4 linked regions of the Cricetulus griseus genome follow. The main gene of each other region encodes a partner of the protein of the gene in region 2 in a complex. Links are inferred from orthologs where the notes say so. Each region holds a gene or a part of one and is shown on either strand. Other genes may lie near its edges. The genes, in order: Gtf2e2, Polr2h, Gtf2h4 and Polr1h.

The links.
Region 1: Polr2h (region 2) and Gtf2e2 share a complex: the UniProt entries of both Homo sapiens proteins name them as parts of the TBP-based Pol II pre-initiation complex. The link is inferred for Cricetulus griseus from reciprocal best matches to the Homo sapiens genes POLR2H and GTF2E2.
Region 3: Polr2h (region 2) and Gtf2h4 share a complex: the UniProt entries of both Homo sapiens proteins name them as parts of the TBP-based Pol II pre-initiation complex. The link is inferred for Cricetulus griseus from reciprocal best matches to the Homo sapiens genes POLR2H and GTF2H4.
Region 4: Polr2h (region 2) and Polr1h share a complex: the UniProt entries of both Homo sapiens proteins name them as parts of the pol I pre-initiation complex. The link is inferred for Cricetulus griseus from reciprocal best matches to the Homo sapiens genes POLR2H and POLR1H.

What each region holds. Positions count from the first base shown.
Region 1 is NW_023276807.1:51,042,513-51,047,002, forward strand, and holds part of Gtf2e2 (transcription initiation factor IIE subunit beta), read right to left. Parts: intron 1,034-4,490; coding exon 918-1,033; intron 1-917. UniProt on the Homo sapiens protein: Recruits TFIIH to the initiation complex and stimulates the RNA polymerase II C-terminal domain kinase and DNA-dependent ATPase activities of TFIIH. Both TFIIH and TFIIE are required for promoter clearance by RNA polymerase.
Region 2 is NC_048597.1:67,931,597-67,937,623, forward strand, and holds the start of Polr2h (DNA-directed RNA polymerases I, II, and III subunit RPABC3), read right to left. Parts: upstream 3,361-6,027; 5' UTR 3,019-3,360; coding exon 2,946-3,018; intron 1,969-2,945; coding exon 1,885-1,968; intron 1,640-1,884; coding exon 1,546-1,639; intron 511-1,545; coding exon 427-510; intron 1-426. Other genes in the region: Clcn2 (chloride channel protein 2), read left to right, coding at 4,967-5,050. UniProt on the Homo sapiens protein: DNA-dependent RNA polymerase catalyzes the transcription of DNA into RNA using the four ribonucleoside triphosphates as substrates.
Region 3 is NW_023276806.1:229,574,240-229,578,533, forward strand, and holds the end of Gtf2h4 (general transcription factor IIH subunit 4), read right to left. Parts: intron 4,190-4,294; coding exon 4,058-4,189; intron 3,868-4,057; coding exon 3,771-3,867; intron 3,687-3,770; coding exon 3,598-3,686; intron 3,435-3,597; coding exon 3,323-3,434; intron 3,191-3,322; coding exon 3,122-3,190; intron 2,960-3,121; coding exon 2,876-2,959; intron 2,676-2,875; coding exon 2,543-2,675; intron 2,371-2,542; coding exon 2,240-2,370; intron 2,075-2,239; coding exon 2,027-2,074; intron 1,882-2,026; coding exon 1,803-1,881; intron 1,345-1,802; coding exon 1,172-1,344; 3' UTR 1,051-1,171; downstream 1-1,050. Other genes in the region: Vars2 (valine--tRNA ligase, mitochondrial), read right to left, coding at 51-132, 445-645. UniProt on the Homo sapiens protein: Component of the general transcription and DNA repair factor IIH (TFIIH) core complex, which is involved in general and transcription-coupled nucleotide excision repair (NER) of damaged DNA and, when complexed to CAK, in RNA transcription by RNA polymerase II.
Region 4 is NW_023276806.1:228,751,171-228,756,999, reverse strand, and holds the start of Polr1h (DNA-directed RNA polymerase I subunit RPA12), read right to left. Parts: upstream 3,548-5,829; 5' UTR 3,505-3,547; intron 1-3,504. UniProt on the Homo sapiens protein: Core component of RNA polymerase I (Pol I), a DNA-dependent RNA polymerase which synthesizes ribosomal RNA precursors using the four ribonucleoside triphosphates as substrates. Can mediate Pol I proofreading of the nascent RNA transcript.

The sequences.
Region 1 (4,490 bases), on a different chromosome or scaffold from region 2:
TTAAAGGCATGTGTCACCACTGCCCAGCGACAATAAATCTTTTTCTTTTATTCAGTGACTCTTAGAGAATCACTTTTTTAAAAAATGGAAAAATGGAAAGCTACAAAGTATGCGTGGAAGGGGAGAGAGCAGAGTCCCAAGTCTAGAGTGCTAGTAGTTCTTTCTGCCCCGGCTGTTCTTGAACTACAGGTTAGTGGTTACCAGATGCAGGGGGTTTACTAGCCTTCACTTTAATATCCACTATGAGTACAATTTAAGGACTAGAATGACAAATGTAAACGGTTCCTAAAAAATGACAATTCAGTATTATCAGGATATGACAGCTCCATCCAGGCATTGGTATGAAGGGGACAATGGAGGTCTAAGAAAGAGCACCAGATGAAGATGTGGCTCCTTTTTGAAACCAGGGAACGTATGTATGGGATGAGAGGCCAGAAATGTTAGTCCCTGACTGGACTCAAGTTGCACTGCTAGACAGGCTGGAGGATAAGAAAGCTCTCCCAGCTGGGTGTTGGTGGCCCACACCTTTAATCCCAGCACTCAGAAGGCAGAGGCAGGCGGATCTCTGTGAGTTTGAGACCAGCCTGGTCTACAACAGTTCGTTCCAGGACAGCCTCCAAAGCCACAGAGAAACCCTGTCTCGAAAACCAGAAAGAAAGAAAGAAAGAAAGAAAGAAAGAAAGAAAGAAAGAAAGAAAGAAAGAAAGAAAGAAAGAAAGCTCGCTCTCCCAAGCTGGGACATCACCATGGATGGTTCACTGGCCTCAATACATCAGATATGCCCAGCTGTATCTGGCAAGTCAATGAATGCATTAGGCTCCGAGAAAACCTAGTAGAGGGAATCCCTTCCTCACTTGTCAGAGGAAGAGGAGAAGCAGTGAAGAAGTGACGAAACTGCTTTTATAAAGATGACATACCACTTTCTTTGGTCCAGATTCCTGCATAGAAGAAATACCCTGTCGCTTGAGATAGTCTTCAATTTTCTCCTCATCCATTGAATCCACAGTGACGCTCCTCCACAGTTTCTGGAATTCTAAACCAACAAGACAGTAGTTACTTTATCATGGATTTTTATAAACCACTGTATCTTGTGATCTAAATTCACTTTGAATATTATCGGGCCTAAATCCATACAACTGAGATTTCACTAAAAAAACAAACAAACAAACAAATACCTATAATTGTAGCAGTCAGGAGGCAGAGCAGGCTGACCTCTGTGAATTCAAGGACAGCCAGGGTAGCAGCAAATTCAAGGCAGACAGGATACATAGTGAGATACAGTCTCAAAAAAAGAACGAGGGGAGGGAAGGCAAGACTATTCCAGTGCTGGACACAGCAACAGAAGGGGTCTCTGATCTGAAATGCAGCTGGACAGCCACCAGTGTGCTCTATTCTTCAGAAACAGTAAGAGAAGGATGGTGTGGCTGAAGCTTCTCCTATATTCCATGGGAAGAGAAGCAATTAACACTCTTCCCAAATCAGCTCCCTCCCTGTGGCACAAATTATTCAAATACTGGTTCAAGGCCCTGAGCGCAATGTATTCCACCTCTGTACTGAGAGTTAGAAGCATTTGGGGAGACGGGGCACCAAAGCTTTATATGAAGGTGACATGCTTGTTTGCTTACATTTTTTTTCTTTTTTTTAAATCTACTAACCAAGGAACTGGTAAGTCACAAAAAGGAAAACCAAAGCAAAACAGCTGGGGTGGGCTGAGAAATACGCATATGAAACAAAGTAGAAAGATGGGTGTCTAGCCTCCATGTCATTCATGTATTTGACACGCACGAATACAAAAATCCTTTGCACTTTAAATTCTTCTCCTAAAGACAGCTTTAATAACCAAGCTCATTAAGAGCCTTGTCAGCCTTTCCTTACACACACACACACACACACACACACACACACACACACACACACACACACACACAGAGTGATGGCCAAGTCTTACAGTGTGTACTCTGGGAACTGAGAAAGGGTGGCTCCCAAACACTGAGGTGGTTCACAAAGCTTCCTGTTTACCACAGCTCAGAGGCTGCAGACCAGACAACTATGCCAACCCCTACACCAACATGCCTCTTCCTTCCTTGCCAGTTCATTAACCACACACTTCATCTGCAAGCTATATGACAGCTCAGTGGCTAAGACTATTCTTGCGGGGAACCCATGATTTGATCCCCAATATGCACATGGTGGCTTACAACCTTCTATAACTCAAATTCTAGGGGTTCAGATGTCCTCTTCTGGCTTCCATGGCCTTGCTCACTCACATGCAGTGCACAGAAATACATGCAAGCGAAATACCCATGCACATAAAAAAAGATATTTTTTTTCAACTTTTATTACAAAACAAATGGTGACTAAGGCTGTACCCATGTGAATCCATGCATACTAACTAATGCATTATCTCAAGGGTCAGAGTTCATACAGCCAGTTCAGCTACTGTTTGGTATATTACCACACCTTCAACACACTCCTGAACTCTACCAGGAAGAAGGCCCCCAAATACACCTCTTTTCTGTATAACTCACTCAATCTGTGACACTTAACAAAAGACTGGGATACAATCTCAAACTAAGAGTAACAGCTGCGGGCAACATGACCACAAACTACATCACAGTTATAGTAATCAAGGCAGCACAAAAACACAGAAACAACCTACAAAAGAGAATATAGAAAGGACTAACTTAACATGAGTTAAAATAAATATCTCAGTTGGCTTTTCTTTTCTTTCTTCCCCTCTGCCCCAAGACAGGGTTTCTGTGTGTGTGTCCCTGACTGTCCTGAACTAGCTCTGTAGACCAAATTGGCATTGAACTCAGATCCATCTGCCTCTGCCTCTGAATGATGGAATTAAAGGTGTGCACTACCATCGCCAAGCTTAGTTAGTTTTCAATATGTGAAACAGTCTGTAAAAACAGAAAATGGGAGAAGGAAATATAAGGGTTGCTAGAGAGATGGCTCAGCAGTTAAAAGTAACTGCTGCTCTTCCAGGAGTCAGGTTGGCTTCCTCAGTACCCATATGGTGGTTCACAACCATCTCTTTACTCTAGTTTCAGGAAAAAGCCCTTTTCTGGCTTGTGTGGGCACCAGGCAGAGAAGTGTATGCAGATATACATGTAGGCAAAAAGTATAAAGTGTACCAGAAAAATCTACTTGAATCTACAAGTAGAAAAGGAAGGCAGGTTATCTCATACCATAGGTAATAGTCAACTCAACATGGATTAAAGACAGACAGAGACACAGACACACACAGTTTTTAAGAGCTCTCTCTTTTTTTTTTCTTTTAATTTATTATGTATACAGTGTTCTGCCTACATGTATCCTGGAAGGCCAGACAGAAGAGGGCACCTGATCTCATTACAGATGGCTGTGAGCTACTTTGTGGTTGCTGGGAATTGAACTCAGGACCTCTGGAAGACCAACTAGTGTTCTTAATCTCTGAGCCATCTCTCCAGCCCTGGTCCTGTTCATTTTTACTAAAGCTGTCAATCCTCCTTCCTCCACCTCCCCTGTGCTGGAATTACGGGCATCAACCATGGCCAGCAAGTTTTTAAATAAAACATTTTTCTTGCCGGGCATTGATGCCGCACACCTTCAATCTCAGCACTCGGGAGGCAGAGGCAGGAGGATCTCTGTGAGTTAGAGGCCAGCCTGGTCTCCAGAGTGAGTGCCAGGATAGGCTCCAAAGCTACACAGAGAAACCCTGTGTCAAAAAACAAAAACAAAAACAAAATCACTGACCAAGTAGGAGGAAATTTTTATTTCTGCTTACAGGTTACAGTCCAACACTATGGGAAGCTAACGCAGGAAAACTCTGCTTACTAGCTTGCTCCCTGCAACTTGTGTTCAACTAGCTTTCTTATAGAACCCAGGACCACCACCTAGGCTCCAAGGATGATACTACTCACATCAGGCTAATCTCTCCTACACCAATTAGCAATCAAGAAAATGCCCTACAGACATGCATTTTCTCAGACTGAAGTGCCCCTTTCTCAGTGTGTCAAGCTAGCAATTAAGATTAGCTAGAAGTAAGATACACTCTGAATGTAGATGGTTCCTTATCTTGAAGGGCTGAGGTTCCCAGGCTGAGTAACAAAACCAGCTGTCACTAGCACCTTTTTCTGTTTGCTGGCTACAGTCACAATGTGACAAGCTGTCTCTAAGTCCTGGTGCAATGCCTCCCTGACATGATAGCCTTTGTCTGTCTGTCTGCCTGTCTGTGTCTTTCTATCTTAATTTGTGAACCAAAATAAATCCTTCCTAAACTGCTTTTAGCTGCTGTGAGATATTTAGTCACAGAAATGAGAAAAGTAACTAGTACAGGTGGGAATGTAGGTAGATAACACTGACAACGGACTATTGATGAAATACAAAGAAGCAGGTTATTTTCTTACAAATGCTACAAAGTTCACCATGAACATTTTACAAGATATTAAGATCTGTTCACATACATCTTTTGACCCAGTAAAACTCCTCTTCAAGAAAATGGG
Region 2 (6,027 bases):
TCCCGAGTGCTGGGATTAAAGGCGTGTGCCACCACTGCCCGGCATTTAAAACCAATTTTAAAGAAAAAGAAAAATTAGGCAGGGAAACTAAAGAACCAAGGTCTGGGTTACAGAGTAGCAACACATACACAAGTAAAAAATAAAAAGGCCTAGTCATGAAATGCTGCTTGTGATCCCCCAAGATGTTCTCTGTTGTCCCTCATGAAGCAAGATTACCAAAGTCTCCTGTGGGCCACAGGGCCTTGAAATCCTGATAGCAGGTGATGTAAGTAATCAAAATTCAGACTAGAAACTGTTCCCAAAACAAATTCTTCCACCCCGGCTTCGGGTACTAGAAAAAACAAAGAACCTGATACAGAAGGAGAAGCATGACCCAATTTCACAACAGGGAGGTTGGATTATTAACAGCCAGACAATGTTACTTACAGACGTGTCGCCGCTTCGGTTGAGGTCTCATCCCCCTCAATCCTATATACTTTCCCATACATGACATACTCAAACTGGTCCGCCCTACAAACAATAGGCAAAGTTACTTTTCACAGCAATCAATAGTGTAAGAGACATTTAAAAATGGAAACTGAGCCAGGCATGGTGGCACAATCCCAGCACTCAGGAATCAGAGGCAGAGGCAGAGACAGAGGCCTGTGAGTTTTCGGCCAGCCTGACAGTCTACAGAGTAAGTTCCAGGATAGTCACGGCCACACAAAGAAACCTTGTCTCGAAAAACCAAAAAGATAGAAATAATTAAAATAGAAACTGATAACAACAAATGCCATGGAAGCGCAACCTTATTTGGCTTTCACATCAATTCAGTGAACTAGAAATGACTGTCTGTACTTTATTGATAAGGAAATGGAAGATGGAAGTAGTGGAGCTGAGAAGTAAAAGTTCAGTATATAGTCATGGCTGTCCTAACTGGCTATGTAGACCAGGCTAGCCTCAAACTCACAGAGGTCTCCTGCCTCTGCCTCCTAAATGCTGGGATTAAGTGTGTGTACCACCAGACCCAATACTCCACAGTCTTTCTGTCACACCAAAATCTAGGTTACTATGTAATCATTTTCTAGGCCTTAAAAAAGCTACATTTGCAGGGTGTGGTGGTACATACCTTTAATTCCAACACTGAGGAGGCAGAGGAGGTGGATGTCATCTGTGAGTTTGAGACCAGCTTGGTCTACATAGTCCAGGCCAACCAGGACTACAAAGTGAGACCCTGTCTCAAATAAATAAACAACTGCAGTTCACAAGCTTCCACTCACTGCTCTCACTAAGTAATCAAGCCAGTTGTTTGAAATTTTTTTCAAATTTTTTAGAGACAGGGTCTCCAGCCCAGGTTGGTCTCAGATTTGATGTGCAGCCAATGGTGTTCTTGAACTCCTCATCCTCCTGCCTCATCTCCCGAGTTCTGGAATTACAGACACAAACCATCACACCCAGTTCTGGTTGTGTGAATTCTAAGTGCAGTAATGTCTTTTTCTAGCAGTAAAATAAAGACCATTCTATGTACTACTTATCTATTTAGTCCCTCCTTTACCACCGCCTCACCTGGAAGGCCTGTCATCTGTGGGGTTGTATTCACCATCATCCAAGGTACCATCTTCATACAAAGTACTAGCTATGACCAATCGGAACTTGTCACCTGAAAAGAGCATCAAGCGGAAACCAAAGATAAAAATCACTTGCTAAAGCCAGTCGTTGGCAGCACATGCTTTTAATCCCAGTACTCAGGAGGCAGAGGCAAGCGGATCTCTGTGAGTTCGAGACCAGCCTGTTCTACAAGAGCTAGTTCCAGGACAGCCTCCAAAGCCATAGAGAAAACCTGTCTCGAAAAACAAACAAACAAACAAAAAAATTCACTTGCTAGCTCCTGTGTTGGACACTTACCCAAGTCCACTGGGTAAATCTGAATGTTCACGTCTAAGATGAGGTCCATCTTGAAAGATTCACTCTCACAGTGCAGCCGAGATACTGGGAAAGAGCGACAGACATAATTACAGGCAACAGAGTCGGGGTCGAATGCAGGAGAACAAATCTTTCAACTAGTCCACAGCCATTAGCCTTGCTCTGGGACACAGACACAGAGTGCAATCCAAATCAGATTCAGAGAAGAAAGGGAGTAAACACCTCAGCAAGTGTCAGGATCCCAAGAAAGAAGCAGAACTTCTCTGGCAGCAACCCGTCTCTAGGCTCTAAGCACACCTGGATGATTTAGACTAAACTCAACTCTGAACAAGATAGTCATTAGTCCAGAGATCCCCACTTCCTAGTAGGCACTCTGCGGAGGGAATAGGCAGGGTGTATTGAGAACTGACACCTGTCTTTAAAAATGGGGGGGGCACGCCTTTAATCCCAGCACTTGGGAGGCAGAGGCAGGTGGATCTCTGAGTTCAAGGCCAGTCTGGTCTACAAAGCAAGTTCCAAGACAGCCAGAGCTACAAAGAGAATCTGTATTGGGGGGGGGGGGGTCTGTCTCCAGGTAAAGTGACACTGAGAAGAAACAACTTCCGGATTACTGGGAAATGAATACACCAAGCAGTCAGCTGCATGAAATTTATAGAGGACTCGGCAAAGGGCTAACAATTCTTGGGGCAATACAAAACTATGGGTTAGGAAGACAGGGAGGTAACTCGCTGCACGGCCTTAAGTAACAAAATAGATCGGGCACCATCACTTCTTACTACAATACTTAAGTGTGCGAGAGAGGCGCACGGTACATACAGCACGTAATACTGAATAAGGAGTCAGAAAGGTGTCCAGGGCTTTCCCAACCCCAAAGCCAAGGGCCACCGAGGCACCAGACACCGCAAACATCATAGGAAAAGCTGTCCCAAGTTTCTCATTATGAAAAACACTGTTTCCTGAGGGAGGTACCGAGAGGGTGGGACGGGCCACTTGGGGTGGGTGGGCATGTTTGGCCTCTTCCTCACCTCCCCTACACACCTTACCTCGGTCAAATTTCTTGCCTTCTGGGTCAATGTCTTTCACATCAAAAATATCCTCGAACAGGATGCCCGCCATCGTAAGGGGCACGAGAACTGCAGAGGTGCGGAGCGCGCGGCCACCACTGGGAATTCGCGCACCCCCTCACGTGGAGAAAAGAAGACAGGGCAGAGTACCGCCCCAAAAAGCGGCAACCAGCCGCAGGGCGCATGCGCACAGGCTTCAGCAACGCAGCCACTTCCGCTGCCTCCCCTCGGGGCTCCTTCACTTCCGCCGGGAAAGGCCACCTCGGAGTGGCTCGGACCTTGTGGGCGAGTCTCAAAGCGCGGTGACTCCGCCCAAGGCGGGGACAGACTAAGTCCCACCCCCGGCGGGTACCGCGATGCGCCCGGCTCTAGGGCGCCCTCTTCAGACCCCGGATCCCGATGCTTGGAAGGCTCCGGGACCGGACCCAGCCAGGAACCTTGATCCTTGGCCCAGAGGGAGCCCGGCCCTAGCCCTTCCCTGCGGTCCGCGTGCCCGCCGAGGGCACAGTCCGTGCTGCAGGAGGGTGAAGCCGAACTCCACCCGCAGAGCGCCCGCCCAGCGGGACGCAGTGCCCAGCCCCTCGGACGGCCACCAAGGTTCCCCACGCTGGTCCGAGCTGGCTCTGACCAGCTAGACGTCACCCGAGCCGGGTCCGTCCGGTTTGGGAATTTGCCGTGATGTCACTGTCAGGGAAAGGAAAGCCCGCATTGTGCCCTCGCCTGGGGCTTCACCTCCTCGCCACGCCGGTCTTCCCTTGGCCCTGCTTGGCACTAACTCTGATCCCCTAGAACACTGCCAATTGAACTTGGTACTGCCTGTCACCCCACTACACTACCCTCTTCTGGACACTGATCCAGTGCGCTTCCACCCGACACTGGCCTTTCCCTGGGAAACGACAGCTCGCAGCGCGCTCTTTCCAGGTGCTATCTCCTTTCATCGCAGCCCCCGTACTGGGCACCGTACGCTCCCCTTGAGCACCACCCTCTGTTTGCTGAATGAGTCTTCATCCTGATGCTGTTCTTTCTACACGGATTTCTGGGCACCGTCCTCTCCAGTGGCACCAACCTAACGCTGTCCATCCTCTTTGTGCCAACGCCACACTGTTCTTATCCTTCCAAGGATCCCGAAAGACAACGTAGAGCTTCACTGGGCCGCTTCCTCGAGGCGTCAGCAGCTACTCAAGTTCCCCCTTTAAGCGATGCCTGGGAGGAGCGACCTCTGCTCCCCCACGCCCGCCTCCCAGGAGCAGCCTCCCCCGCACCAATAGCTCCCTTCCCTCGGGCCTCACCCCTTCCCGTCCCCTCCCACCTCCACCTCCGCCCCGATCTCCAGGCCTAGCAGTTCCAGGTGCACCTTCCCGGGGGAACCCGGAGGAAAAGAAGAAAGGAGGAAGGGAGGCGATAAGGGAGCGGGCTCTCAGGAATCCTCCCAGACCCGTCTGAGCCGCCAGCAAACGCGAAGCAGAGGCTGCCCCAGTCGAGTCTGGCCTGGAGAGCCCGAGATAGCTCGTCAGCAGCCCCCTGCCCCAGCCCTGGAGTCACTACATCCTCAGCCCCTCCCGCACAACGCTGCAGCCGCCCGAGAGCCCGTCCCCTCCACGTGCCAGCGGACCCGCCCCCGTCCGGCCCCGCACCCTCTCGGGGCCGGGTCAGCCCCCGGCCTCCCCAGAGAAGGGGTGCAAGATCGCGTTGCAAGCGCCCCCTGCCGCTTCTCCGGAGGCCAGGAGGCGGCTCCAATGCAGACCCCAGCCCGACCGGACGCCCCTGCAGATGGGCCAGGGCGGAGCAGCAAGCAGGGCACCGCCCTCGGCCCGCCCGCCAAGGAGGGGACGCTAGCGAGAGGCTGAGCCTGCGGCGCGCGCCCGGGGACCGTCGCACTCTGCACTCGGCCGCCGGGGCTGAGGGGACGGGACGGGTGCGGGCGCGGGCTCAGCGGGCCGGGAGCTGAGTCAAGGCCAGAGCCCGAGAAGCCAAGGGAGGCAAGAGGACAGTGCACCGAGATGGCGGCCGCCACGGCCGCGGCGGCGGCGGCGGCGGCGGGGGAAGGGATGGAGCCTCGGGCGCTGCAGTATGAGCAGACCCTGGTAAGTGAAACCTAAGGGGTGCGCTATGGCACCACTGCTGCAGGTTGCCCTAGGAAGTGTGAGCACAGGCGGCCTACCCAAGCCCGGCCTCAGCCTTCCTCAGCTGTGGAAACTGAGGTTCGGGATCCGACAGGCTATAGGTTCAGGGTGTTTGAAAGCTGCTTGCTGGTTTCTGGCTGAGACTGGTGGCCTGGAGAGGACAATGACACCAGGTGTTTGGCCCAGGTGTCCTTCCCCTTACTCCCTTCGGCTGACACGATTTTGTTTTTTCCACTTACCAAGTTACAGCACCCCAGTACCCTTTCTCGATACCTGTGAACTTTCTCCAAATGCCTATCCACATTCTACACCTTCCCTGTGTCCCTACTATGCCACAGCATTAAGCTGGACATAAAGACTGCAGGGAAGTAATCAAATCCAAACCTACCCCCTGCCTTTAAAGACTCAAAGTCCAGCATTGACAAGAACCCCTCAGTCGAACTTTTGGGAAAGGTGGCTGGCTTAGGTGGCTTGTCACCCTGGGGACCGAAGCTTGAGGGTTGATGCAGGAAGCAGGAATGGGTGTGAGAATTGGAACCTTTGTTCTAGCTGGATCTAGGCAGGTACCCCACCACCACTACCACCCACGCCCATGGAGTGTCCCTTGACCTCATCAGAAGCAGGGGTCCTGAGCTTTGAGATGACTCATAGCAAGTCAAGAGTTAAGAAGCCATTCACCCTCATGTCACTAGGGTGGGGGGCCCAAGCCCTACAGAAAGAAACTGGCCCTATGGCTCCGTTTTATCAGCTCGGGCTGGAATTTGCCCTGGAGGGTGTCAGGGAGGAACCTCCTTGAGAGAGGGCCTGGATTGTAACTGAGTCAGGGAGGTGCCCAATTACCAGAGACTGTATGAAACTGGATGACTGGGAGAGGTGGTAGGTGTGAGTGACGCTAGTGCCGGCAAGCCCTTTTGTTGGCAATGGCTGTTATCCTTGCC
Region 3 (4,294 bases), on a different chromosome or scaffold from region 2:
TTCAGCAGGCCAAAGAGCAATAAAATAAAACAAAAACAAAAAACCCGTACCTTTCTTTTCACCTGGCTCGGTGGGGATTTCATACAATACTACCTCCTTGTGACTCCAGGCTTTCGAGGGCACTGCAGGTGACTGTAGGAAGGCGGAAATGGTGTGTGTGCGTGTGCGTTTGTGTGTGTGTGTGTGTGCGTTTGTGTGTGTGTGTGTGTGCGTTTGTGTGTGTGTGTGCGTGTTTTGCAATTCCCAGTACACACTGTAGGAAGGCGGAAATGTGTGTGTGTGTGTGTGTGCGTTTGTGTGTGTGTGTGTGTGTGTGCGTGTTTTGCAATTCCCAGTACACACTGTAGGAAGGCGGAAATGTGTGTGTGTGCTTTGCAATTCCCAGTACACCAGTCTCCTTCAGCCCCTTCCCAAGTCTTGAAGACCCAAGGGCTGACCCCTGACCTTGCTCCTCTCAGCTAGCCCGGCCTCCAGGGCCGCCTGCTTCTCCCGCAGGCGCTTCTGTTTGGCTTCACGGTTCCTCCGCGCGAGGGGTGAGCCTTGGAGCTCTGGCTGGGTACAAAGTTGCTGGGACTTGCAGAGCCCCCGGGCGGGCCTCAGCGCCCAGAGCGGTGGCCGGAGAGGGGACAGAGGTAAATGAGGCATCGGGAGTGTTTGGGAAGCAGTCGGGGTCGGGGTCGGGGTCGGCTTCAGGAGGACGCGGGGTGCGGGAGGTCACGCTGCCTCACTCCCACCGGCTGGATCCCCTGCTCTGTGTCCTCCCGCCTAGGGGCGGAGCGCATGGTGTCAACAGCCTTCTGCAGCCACTGAGACCCCCGCGCTGACGCGGAAGACAAGGCCGGGGATCGGGAACCAGGGAACCCCGCAAACCTCCACGACACGGCCCTAACTGGACCTCCGCGGCGGATCCTTCCTGCGTGTGAGCAGGGACGCCGCCGTCTGTGCGCACGCGCATGGGGGCGGGAACACGCCGGCGCGTGCGCACAAGACACTGGCTCCCCGGGTCCCACAGCCTCGGATGGGAAAACGCGTGCAGGTGTCTGGAACCGCTTATTTTTTTTTTCCGTTAATTTTATTAAACAAGAAATGTCCCGGTGTGTAAACAAAATACGCCTGAGTTGGGAAGCTGCCAGCCCGCTCGCTCGCTCGCTCGCCCGTCCGCCGGTCCGGCTCAGGAGCTGTGCTTCTGCCGCTTCCAAAAGCGCTTGACGTCGCTGTGCCCGGCCGGCGTCACCACCATCAGCCGCTTGGCCGAGTTCTCGAACACCAGCACGCCCAGCTCCCGCGCGTGGGCCAGCAGCAGTTCAAAGTCCACTTGCGACAGGAACTGGTTATACAGGACGCCTGGGGTCGGGTGGGCGGGCAGGAGGTGAGAGGGGCTGCGGTGGCCATGGCCCCTCCCCTCTGGGCGGCGTCTCCGCTGGGGCAGCAGGCCACAGTTTTAAGAACGGATTCTCTACGGATCACTGTGGATAACCTTAACACCCGTGGCATCCAGACGTTCGAAAAGACAACAGAATACCACAAGAAAAAACCATGCAAACCTACCCGGGGAGATGACTGGATTTCCCTGCCTCCTACCCTCACCTGGCTAGTTTGATCCAAACCGCACCGATTTGGGACATAGTTCCTGCTACCGATATATCACAGTAAAGGACGGGCTTTTCTCTCCCCCTCTCGGGGTGGGGGTGGAGGAAGGGAATAAAAAATGCACAAGACCCTTCTCACTCATCGCGGCCAAGTTGCTGACCTTACCTCTTTAGTCAGTGACCAAGATTAGGAGGTCAGCAGAGGCCACTCACCTTCCGTGAAACGAAGTCTGTCCCTTTCCAGCTCCCACAGCCGGATCTGGTCTGTAATGGTGGGAGGCAGCACAGGAGTCTGCGGGCGGACAAGGGGCGGAGCTATAGGACCCAGGGCAAGTGCCTAAAGCAGTCTCTGTGGGTTGGCTGACCCGCTCTCACCCATCCTCTTCTTGCTGGGTGCCCAGGCTGCCAGCCTCCAGCATCCTGGTACCCATCCATACCTGTTTGAGCATCACCGGATGGGCCCTGGTCCTTAGGAAATGGATGATCTGGGAAGACACAAGGATGCAGAAAGCCATCAGGGCAGTCACCGAATGCCACTGCGACAGCATCTCCTGTATTTGCCTAGACACGGGGACCTGACAGACCTGAGGCTATGCTCCCATGGCGGGGGTACCTCCTCCCACCTTGACCTCCACTTCAAGTAGGGATACCTGCTGGGCTGTGATGCCGCTGGCGATGGCCTGCTGCACACTCTCCCGGGTCACCTGTGCCACCACCATGTTGGGGAACCGGTAGAGCATCTCAGAGAAAAGTGCGATGAGCGCAATCTGTAGCTCCGACTCTGGCCCAGGGGTGAAGAGCCGTGAGGAGGCTGCCCATGCCTGCCTTCCTCTAGCCCTGCCCTCAGGTGTTAGAAGAGATACCAGAGGGCTCCTAAACCACACACACACACACACACACACACACACACACACACACACACACACACACACGGCCATAACCTCCAGCCTCACCAGTATAGGCATACAGTCGGTAATTGGTCTCCACGACAATGAAGCCTGGCTGATGCACACTGCCCCCGGCCCCAGAGACACCGGATGAGAGATTGATGGCCAGGCGTGTGGGGTAGTAACGCCGGGACTTCCTCTGGAAGGACACGGGGAAATACAGTCCTCTCTCAGGTCACCATCCTGACAGCTTCCTCTTAGACATCAGATCCCCCAGTGCAAAACCACCAACCTTTAACTCCCCCCCTCAAATGACCCAAGCACTCGGGCCTGGCAAGGGCTTTCTGCTGCACCCCAACACCCCACTCTCCTCAAAGCCAGGTGGCTGGGTGTGCGTACCTTCCTCTGGAAAACAAGCCCGAACTCACGCAGGTGTTGTAGGAAGTTCAACAAAGAATCACTCATACCCTCTACAGAGTAGTCCTGGGGGAAGAGATGGCCAGCTGGGGGCTGTGACTCGTCCTCCCACTCCCCGCCCAGCCCCCTGCACCCCTCCCCCTTTTTTTGCCTTCTCAGGTAGTTCTGTGATCATTCTATCTCTCCATGACGTCTCTTTACCTGCCTGTCCTCCACCCCCCTACTCACCTTGCCCAAAGTAGAGAAGCTGAGCTGGAAGAGGAAAGAGAGAATCTCTACCAGGTCCATGCCCCGACTCTGAGGAGAAAGGGGCAGAGCAAAAGGAGACATGAGAGAGGGGATGAGGCAGTGACGGGCAGAGTCTGGGGTGGTTGTGACTCAGTGGGACCTGAGAAGATCGGGCACACTGCCCTAGGCCCTGGCTCGTACCTGGGCGGTCTGCAGATACTGCAGCATGAAGTACCAGAGCTGGGCCGACGTGTCCAGCAGCAGGAACTGGAAGCCAGCAGAAGTGATACAAGGTGGCTCTCCAGGTTCAGCACTAGAAATGGAGAGAGGCGACGGTAGCGACATGCACAGAAGGGCTACCCGTTTCTGGTTACACCTATTCAAACCTCTTTCCCTACCCAACTCCCTTCACTCCCTCCTAACCCCAGGCACCCACTTTATTTGAGACCCGAGTGGCTGTGCCCTCCCCTCCTCACCTTTTCATGAGCCCAGCCTGGCTGAGGAGCTGAGCCAGGTCCTGGCTGACAGCTGCACTGGGAGAGCCCACCATGAAGTGCAGGACCACCTAGAGAAGAAAGGATCAGACAGGGGTCTCAAGGGCTCCCGGGAATGGGGGCCCAGCGGAGGCACACAGGGGCCGGATCCTCACCTCCCAACGCTCCTCAGCATACTTGTCAAGTGAGGGGACGTCCCGGGCATGCTTGTCTGGTCCCAGCTGACTTGTGTCATCAGACCAGGCCTTGCCCCTGTGGCCAGAATGGGCAGGAGTAAGGAGCCCTGTCTGCTTCCTGCTTCCCCACAGGCCATGAGAAGGGGACACTTTCTACACCCTACACCTACACCTGGTCCAATGCACTTTTGAAGGAGCTCCCCCCCCCCATCCCTGTAGTCAGCAGTTCCCCTGGCCTAGCTCAGGAAGAGAGGGAAACTACATACCCACCCAGAAGGGCGATTCGGAGGTTCTGGCGGAAGATGGGATTGAGGATGAGGCCCTGGAGTCCACCAGGGAGCAGCTGGGTGTGCCAAATTCGGAGACCACTGAGCAGTCCTGTGCTTTCCTCCTGAGCCCTGGACAGAAGCAGAGGTGAGGGGCAGGTCACAAGCAGAAAGGAGACCTCCAGGGGGCTCCATTTCTACCTAAACTGGTGGTCCTTGGAACAGTGTTCCAGGGTG
Region 4 (5,829 bases), on a different chromosome or scaffold from region 2:
GAAGCTGGTGCCTTCAGTTTTTCCATTACCATTGGAGGCAGCTGTCTCAAAGAACAGCAATCTTTGCCAGGCTTATAAGGTGAGAGGTTTTTTTCCTCTCTGTGGAAGAGGGACATGGAAAAGACTGACCTTGTTTTGTCTAGGCAAAGAGGGTGCAATCAATTTTCCAGTGTCCAGCTTTGTCCACAGTCTCGGCTAGGTCCTGGCAGGCGGCAGGTATCACATCTGAGCATCTCGCTCACTGGTCCAGGTGCAGGACTGAGGTGCCTCATAATCTTCTTTGGAGACTTTGGGTCACTGTCAGGATCTGACAGTCTGTCTGACATTATAAACTTTAAAGATAACAATTTAAATGCCATATTCTGAAGATCTCTGAAGCATTAGAGGTCTGTTTGTCTGTTTTAGTTGCTTGCCTTTGAAAGACCCCCGAAGAGGTACTTTCGTAGAAGGAGACCCGCACCCAGGAATCAGCGAGGCCACGAACTTGGATGCAAAAGCAAGAGGCTTTATTGGAGACACGAGTACCCGGGGCGACTTAGCTTCTGTGTGGCTAAGCGCCCCGAGCCAAGGGAAAGGGGTCCTTATATAGGGAAAAAGGCGCAAGCTAGGAGCAGGGATTCTATTGGATAATTCTAATGAGGCATTGTACAGAGCTATTCCCATTGGTACAACAGACTCAATTCCCCCTCCCTCCGCGTCCAGATGGCTGACCTTGGGGGCGGAGACCTTGGGACGGAGTGTTTCTCATCGGGCGGGGGCTCAGGGGCCGGGCTCCAGGCCGGCTCACTTGGTGTTTGCCCTCGTGCCGGCCCACCTGGTGCTCGTTCTCGGGCCAGCCCATCTGGTGCTCGTTCTCGGGCCAGCCCACCTGGTGCTCGTTCTCGGGCTGGGCGTGCGGCTGGTGGCGGGGGAAGTGGAAGCCGCCGGGGGTGGGGATCGGGGAAGCCGCCGACAGGAGGAAGAGGAGACAAACTTGAGAAAGAAAGGGCTAAGGGGCAGGGGTCTTTCACCTTAAGCACACAAGAAACATACAGGTGGCTAGGTGAGGTCTCATTTCTGTAATTAATTTTCAGCCTGACTGTAACTGGTTTTAACTTAGTAAAATATTTGAAACTTAGCACAGCTGAATTTAAGACTGCATAGGGTTACATTATAGTCCTTAAACAGTAGCTACAAGTACACATTTTAGCTGCTTGCTCAAATGAGACAGGGTTTTTCTGTGGCTTTGGACCCTGTCCTGGAATTCAATATGCTGGACCAGGCAGGCCTTGAACTCAAAAAGATCCATCTGCCTCTGCCTCTGGAGTGCTGGGATTAAAGGCGTGTGCCACCAACACCCTAAACTTAACTTCTGAAAAGATAAACATCTTATAATAGATTAGCAGCTTTTATAAAACAAGAATTTTACATTGTCAGGCTTTGCTTAAAAATAATTTTAAATTGAAGCTCTTTAAGTACAAACATTAATAAAAATAAACATTTAAAAAACTGGTTTTAAAAAGAAATTTAAATTCCCTTAATATCTTTCTGTAATATATAGAAGCATTAACACTTTAAATCTTAACTGAAAAGCTTGTTTCTAAGATGGAACCTCTAATTTCCACGCGGTCATCTTTAGTCAGGATGGCGGTTTAAGTATCTTTTTTCAACTTCAGCAAAATGGCTGCCAGTCAGCCATGTGACCAGTTTGCCATGTGGCTGGTTACAAAATGGCCATAACTTGCACCCTTTGCTTAACATGCTTGTAACAGAACTTAGGTTATACCAGGAAAAAGAACATTTTAAAACAAGTATACATAAATTACTTGAGAAATAAACAGGACTTTTTAAAAACAGAATTAGCTTAATATGGTTAAAATTTTAACTTATATTACCATTTTTAAAATTTACTATTTGTTGACATGAGAAACCATAGCAAACAGTTTACATTTTTCTCTTTTAATAATCTCTTTTCTGACCTTCTATGACTTGCTTTAACTTTCTATAACTTTTTATAGTTCTTTCCTCTGATTTTCTTAGACATTCTTAGACAAATTTTTCTTTTTCCTTTTTCTCTTTATTATTTAAGTCTCCTACATTTTCTCTCATTTCTCAGTCAATGTAAAAATTTTTATCAAAGTCCCTTTTACAGTTTTTAATAACTTTTAATAACTTTAAGGCCTTTTTTTTTTTTTAGAAGTCCGGATCAGGCCAGATAAGTTCATACGCCCCAGCTCCATGTGCTCAAGGCAGAGACCTGGGGTGGGGGTGTTGGTGGTAACCCCAGACCCTTGGCCAATGCAGGGGTGGGATAATGGGATAAAGACCCCCTCGGTCCCCCTGCATACCATGTGTGTGGAGCACAGAGAAGGCCGAGCAGCCAGGCAGATGGCGGGCCTTGCAGCCATGTTCCCTCAGAGCAGGGAAACTCCCTTGGCAGGCAGGATGGCAGCTGGGGCAGAAACAGCCCCACTTGGCATGCCTCACAGACCCGCAGGTGGGGATAGAAAGGGGGTGGTGTGGTGGATCCTGAATTGAAAACCAATGATGATAACACAGAATAGACAGGAAAGAACAGACGCCAACCCAATCCGCCCGCGCCGCTTATAAGGCAATGGCGACGGAAGATGGGCTGCAGAACCCAGCGGCTACAATCATCACTAACTGAGGAGGATCCAAGTCCTTGGCCTCCGTTCGTACCTCCTGGGTGTCCTCAGAGCAGCAGTCTGTCCTCCGGGCGCATCTGCTGATCACAGTTGAGGTGGCATCATGTGCTCAGAGCATCAAGAAAAGACCCCTGACCCATGCATTCCATGTGCATGGGCAGTAGGGACAGAAAGAGATGTTTAACACAGACTAGGGTCCTATTCGGAATTTCAGATGGCTAGCCCCGTGGAGATCAACTTGGTTCGAAACCAAGTCTCCCCTATAGATTTCGGAAGGCTGCCGCCCGAACTTCCGCCTTAAACAATTCTTGTAGGCCTACTCACAGATGTCGCCAGAAACCCCAACATAGGACCTCCATATCCACAAAATTAACAGAAATAGTAAAATTGACACACAAGCAGACGGTTAGGGTGTGGGCTGCAACAGATCAGATAACAGATAACAAACCTGTTGCTCAACTGTTCAGTCACCCAGCCCATTCCAATCCTCTAGGCTTAACAGACACCAACAGCAAAACAGGACATCAGACAGGACAAACCCTGTGGCAAAGAAATGGTGCCCCAAACCAAAATTACAAACAACCCTTGGACTTCATCCAGGGCGGAACCAAGGATTCCAGAAATACGTCTATTTCTGTGCACGTCTGCTTACCCTATGGTTCAATTCAAATAGCCCTCGGACTTTTGTCCAGGACGGGACTTTGAAATATGTCTATTTCCCCCTGAAGTCCAAATTACAAATCACGAGTCCTGCGCAGGCTCAGATCAACAAAAGAGCAATTTCAAGTGGCACCAAACCAACAAAAACAAGCAAACATATAACATTGAACATATAAGTTGCGAGCTCGAATCATCTTACCTCCAAGATCGAATCCATTCAGGTGAAGGGTGGTCGCAAATCGCGGACGAGCCCCCAAATGTTAGACCCCCCGGAAAACTCAGGTATCCGGGGTCCCAGGCCACATTCTCGGTCACCCCAATCACCAGGCGGATTCGAGAGCTTGATGCAAACTGCATGAGGCTTTATTGTAATTTAACAAGCTAACCCCATGTTAGCTCGGGTCTTTTACCCACCCGCCGTGGCAGATGGCTCGCAAAAGACAGCTCCTAGGGTCTCCCAAGAGATCTTACAGGGCAGCGTAAGGGGAGTGTCTAGGGGTATGCACAGGCTCACTATTGGTGTGCCTCCAGCCTTGGAGGGCTTGCCCTGTGTTGATTGGCCAACTGGTTGTTATGGCCCATAGGCCCTCCCAGGGTGGTTGCTATGCTTTGTGCGTCATTGCTGAGTGCTTATCCATAAAGCACACCCTGGGTCATAAAGTATAGCGCCACCAGCTAACTTCTGATTGGTTCCTTGTCTCGAGGCAGGCATCTGACTTTCTAGTGACTAACTTCTGATTGGTTCCTTGTCACTAGGCAGGCATCTGACCTCTAAGTGACCAAGACAAGGTTATGGCAAGCATGTGTTCGGCTGTTATGGCTGCTGAAAGGGAAGCTGGTCCCTTCACTATCAGTCTCCACATGAGTTCATGCCCATGCAGAAACACCCACATGAATATCCAGAGCTGTCTAAAGGGTCACAGCATCAAGAAGGTTGAGAACCACTGCTCTAGTAAGTGAAGAGAGTGAAAATGCTAGACTTAGGAGTCAGAATGGAATGGTGAGAACCAATTCCTGGAGAAATGATCTGAGAGCAAGGACATCATTTTCCAGCTATGGGAAGGAAAGGACCAAGCAGGATGCAGGATTATGAAGTCCTAGAGGAAACCCCTAGCCTAGGACCTCAGATCAGGAGGCATGAGAGAAAACATTTTCTTTAAGCTTGGTAGGTTGGTAAATGCCTGTAATCCCAGAGCTTAGACAGGATCATTTGGAGCCAGAAGACAGTGGGCTTCGTAGTAAAGCCCCGTAACAACTCAGGCTGAAAAGTGGAACATCACCATACTCCAGAAAGCTTCATGTACTCCCACTCATAGCCACCTCCCGGCATCCAAGAATGTATTTCTAAGTGGTACTATTTGCAGTTACATTGTGGGGATGAACTTTTATTCATTGATGTTTTTAAATTCATCCTTGAAGATATATAGAACTTAAAATGAATGTGCTAAAAACAAATTACCTGGTCTGTTCACATAATTTGCACTATTGATTTTTTTTCTCAACTTGGAGTTATGCTTTTACAAAGAAAAAAAGAGCAATAACAATTCTATCCTTATGTTTCTAGTTCATGTGCAGGATTTTCTCCAGGACATGTTTGTTGCTCAGTCACTTAACAAGCCTGCTCCTATACCTTGCTATATTCCCATTCCATTGTGGTTATATACTCATAGTTAATAGGTCTGGGCATAATGGTAAAACCTACATACTCAAGAGGTGGAGGCAAGAGAATTGTTGGAAGTTCAAGGCTAGCTTGGGCTACATAGTAAGTTCCAAGCCAGCTTGAGACTCTGTATCAAAAACAATGAAAAAGAAAACCCTCAAATTAATAGTATAAGAGATGAAAGGGGGGGGGAACATTACATCAGATGGCAGCAAAATCAGAGTATAATTAACTAGTATGTTAATTTTAAAAACAACTTTTTAAATTTCACATACTTATTTACTTGTATTGTATGACTGTTTTGCCTTCATGTATGTCTGTTTGCCATGTGTGTACATGGTCCCTGTGGAGGTGAGAAGAGGACATCAGATCTGTGAAACAGGTAACAGGTGGCTGTGAACCATTGTGTAGGTGCTGGTAATTGAATGTGGGTTGTCTGCAAGAGCAGCCAGTGCTCAAACCACTGAGCCATCCCTCCAGGGCCCCAAACCCATGTTCTAATAAATTTGAAGATGCTTGTTATTCTTTTGCTTAAATTAGAAGAAAGAAGGCGCAAGATGAGACATGAGACTATAGAGATACATTAACGATAGTTTTTTATATCATGGGAGAGCAAGTGAGAGAGAAATAGAAGAACAGAGCAGGACAGAGAGAGAAGAGAGACAGAGTTAATGGCTGACTGCCATGGTCAGTCACCTGAGAGAGGAAGAAGAAAGATTAAGCGGGGAAGTTGGAACTTTTACCAGGAAGACTGTGCATGCACACTGAGGTTCCATGCATGTACAGAGTCCTCATGTCAGCCATAATATGTGACGGGTGACAATGTGGAGTAGCAGTCCCTGTGCGTGCCCCGACTGTTGTCAG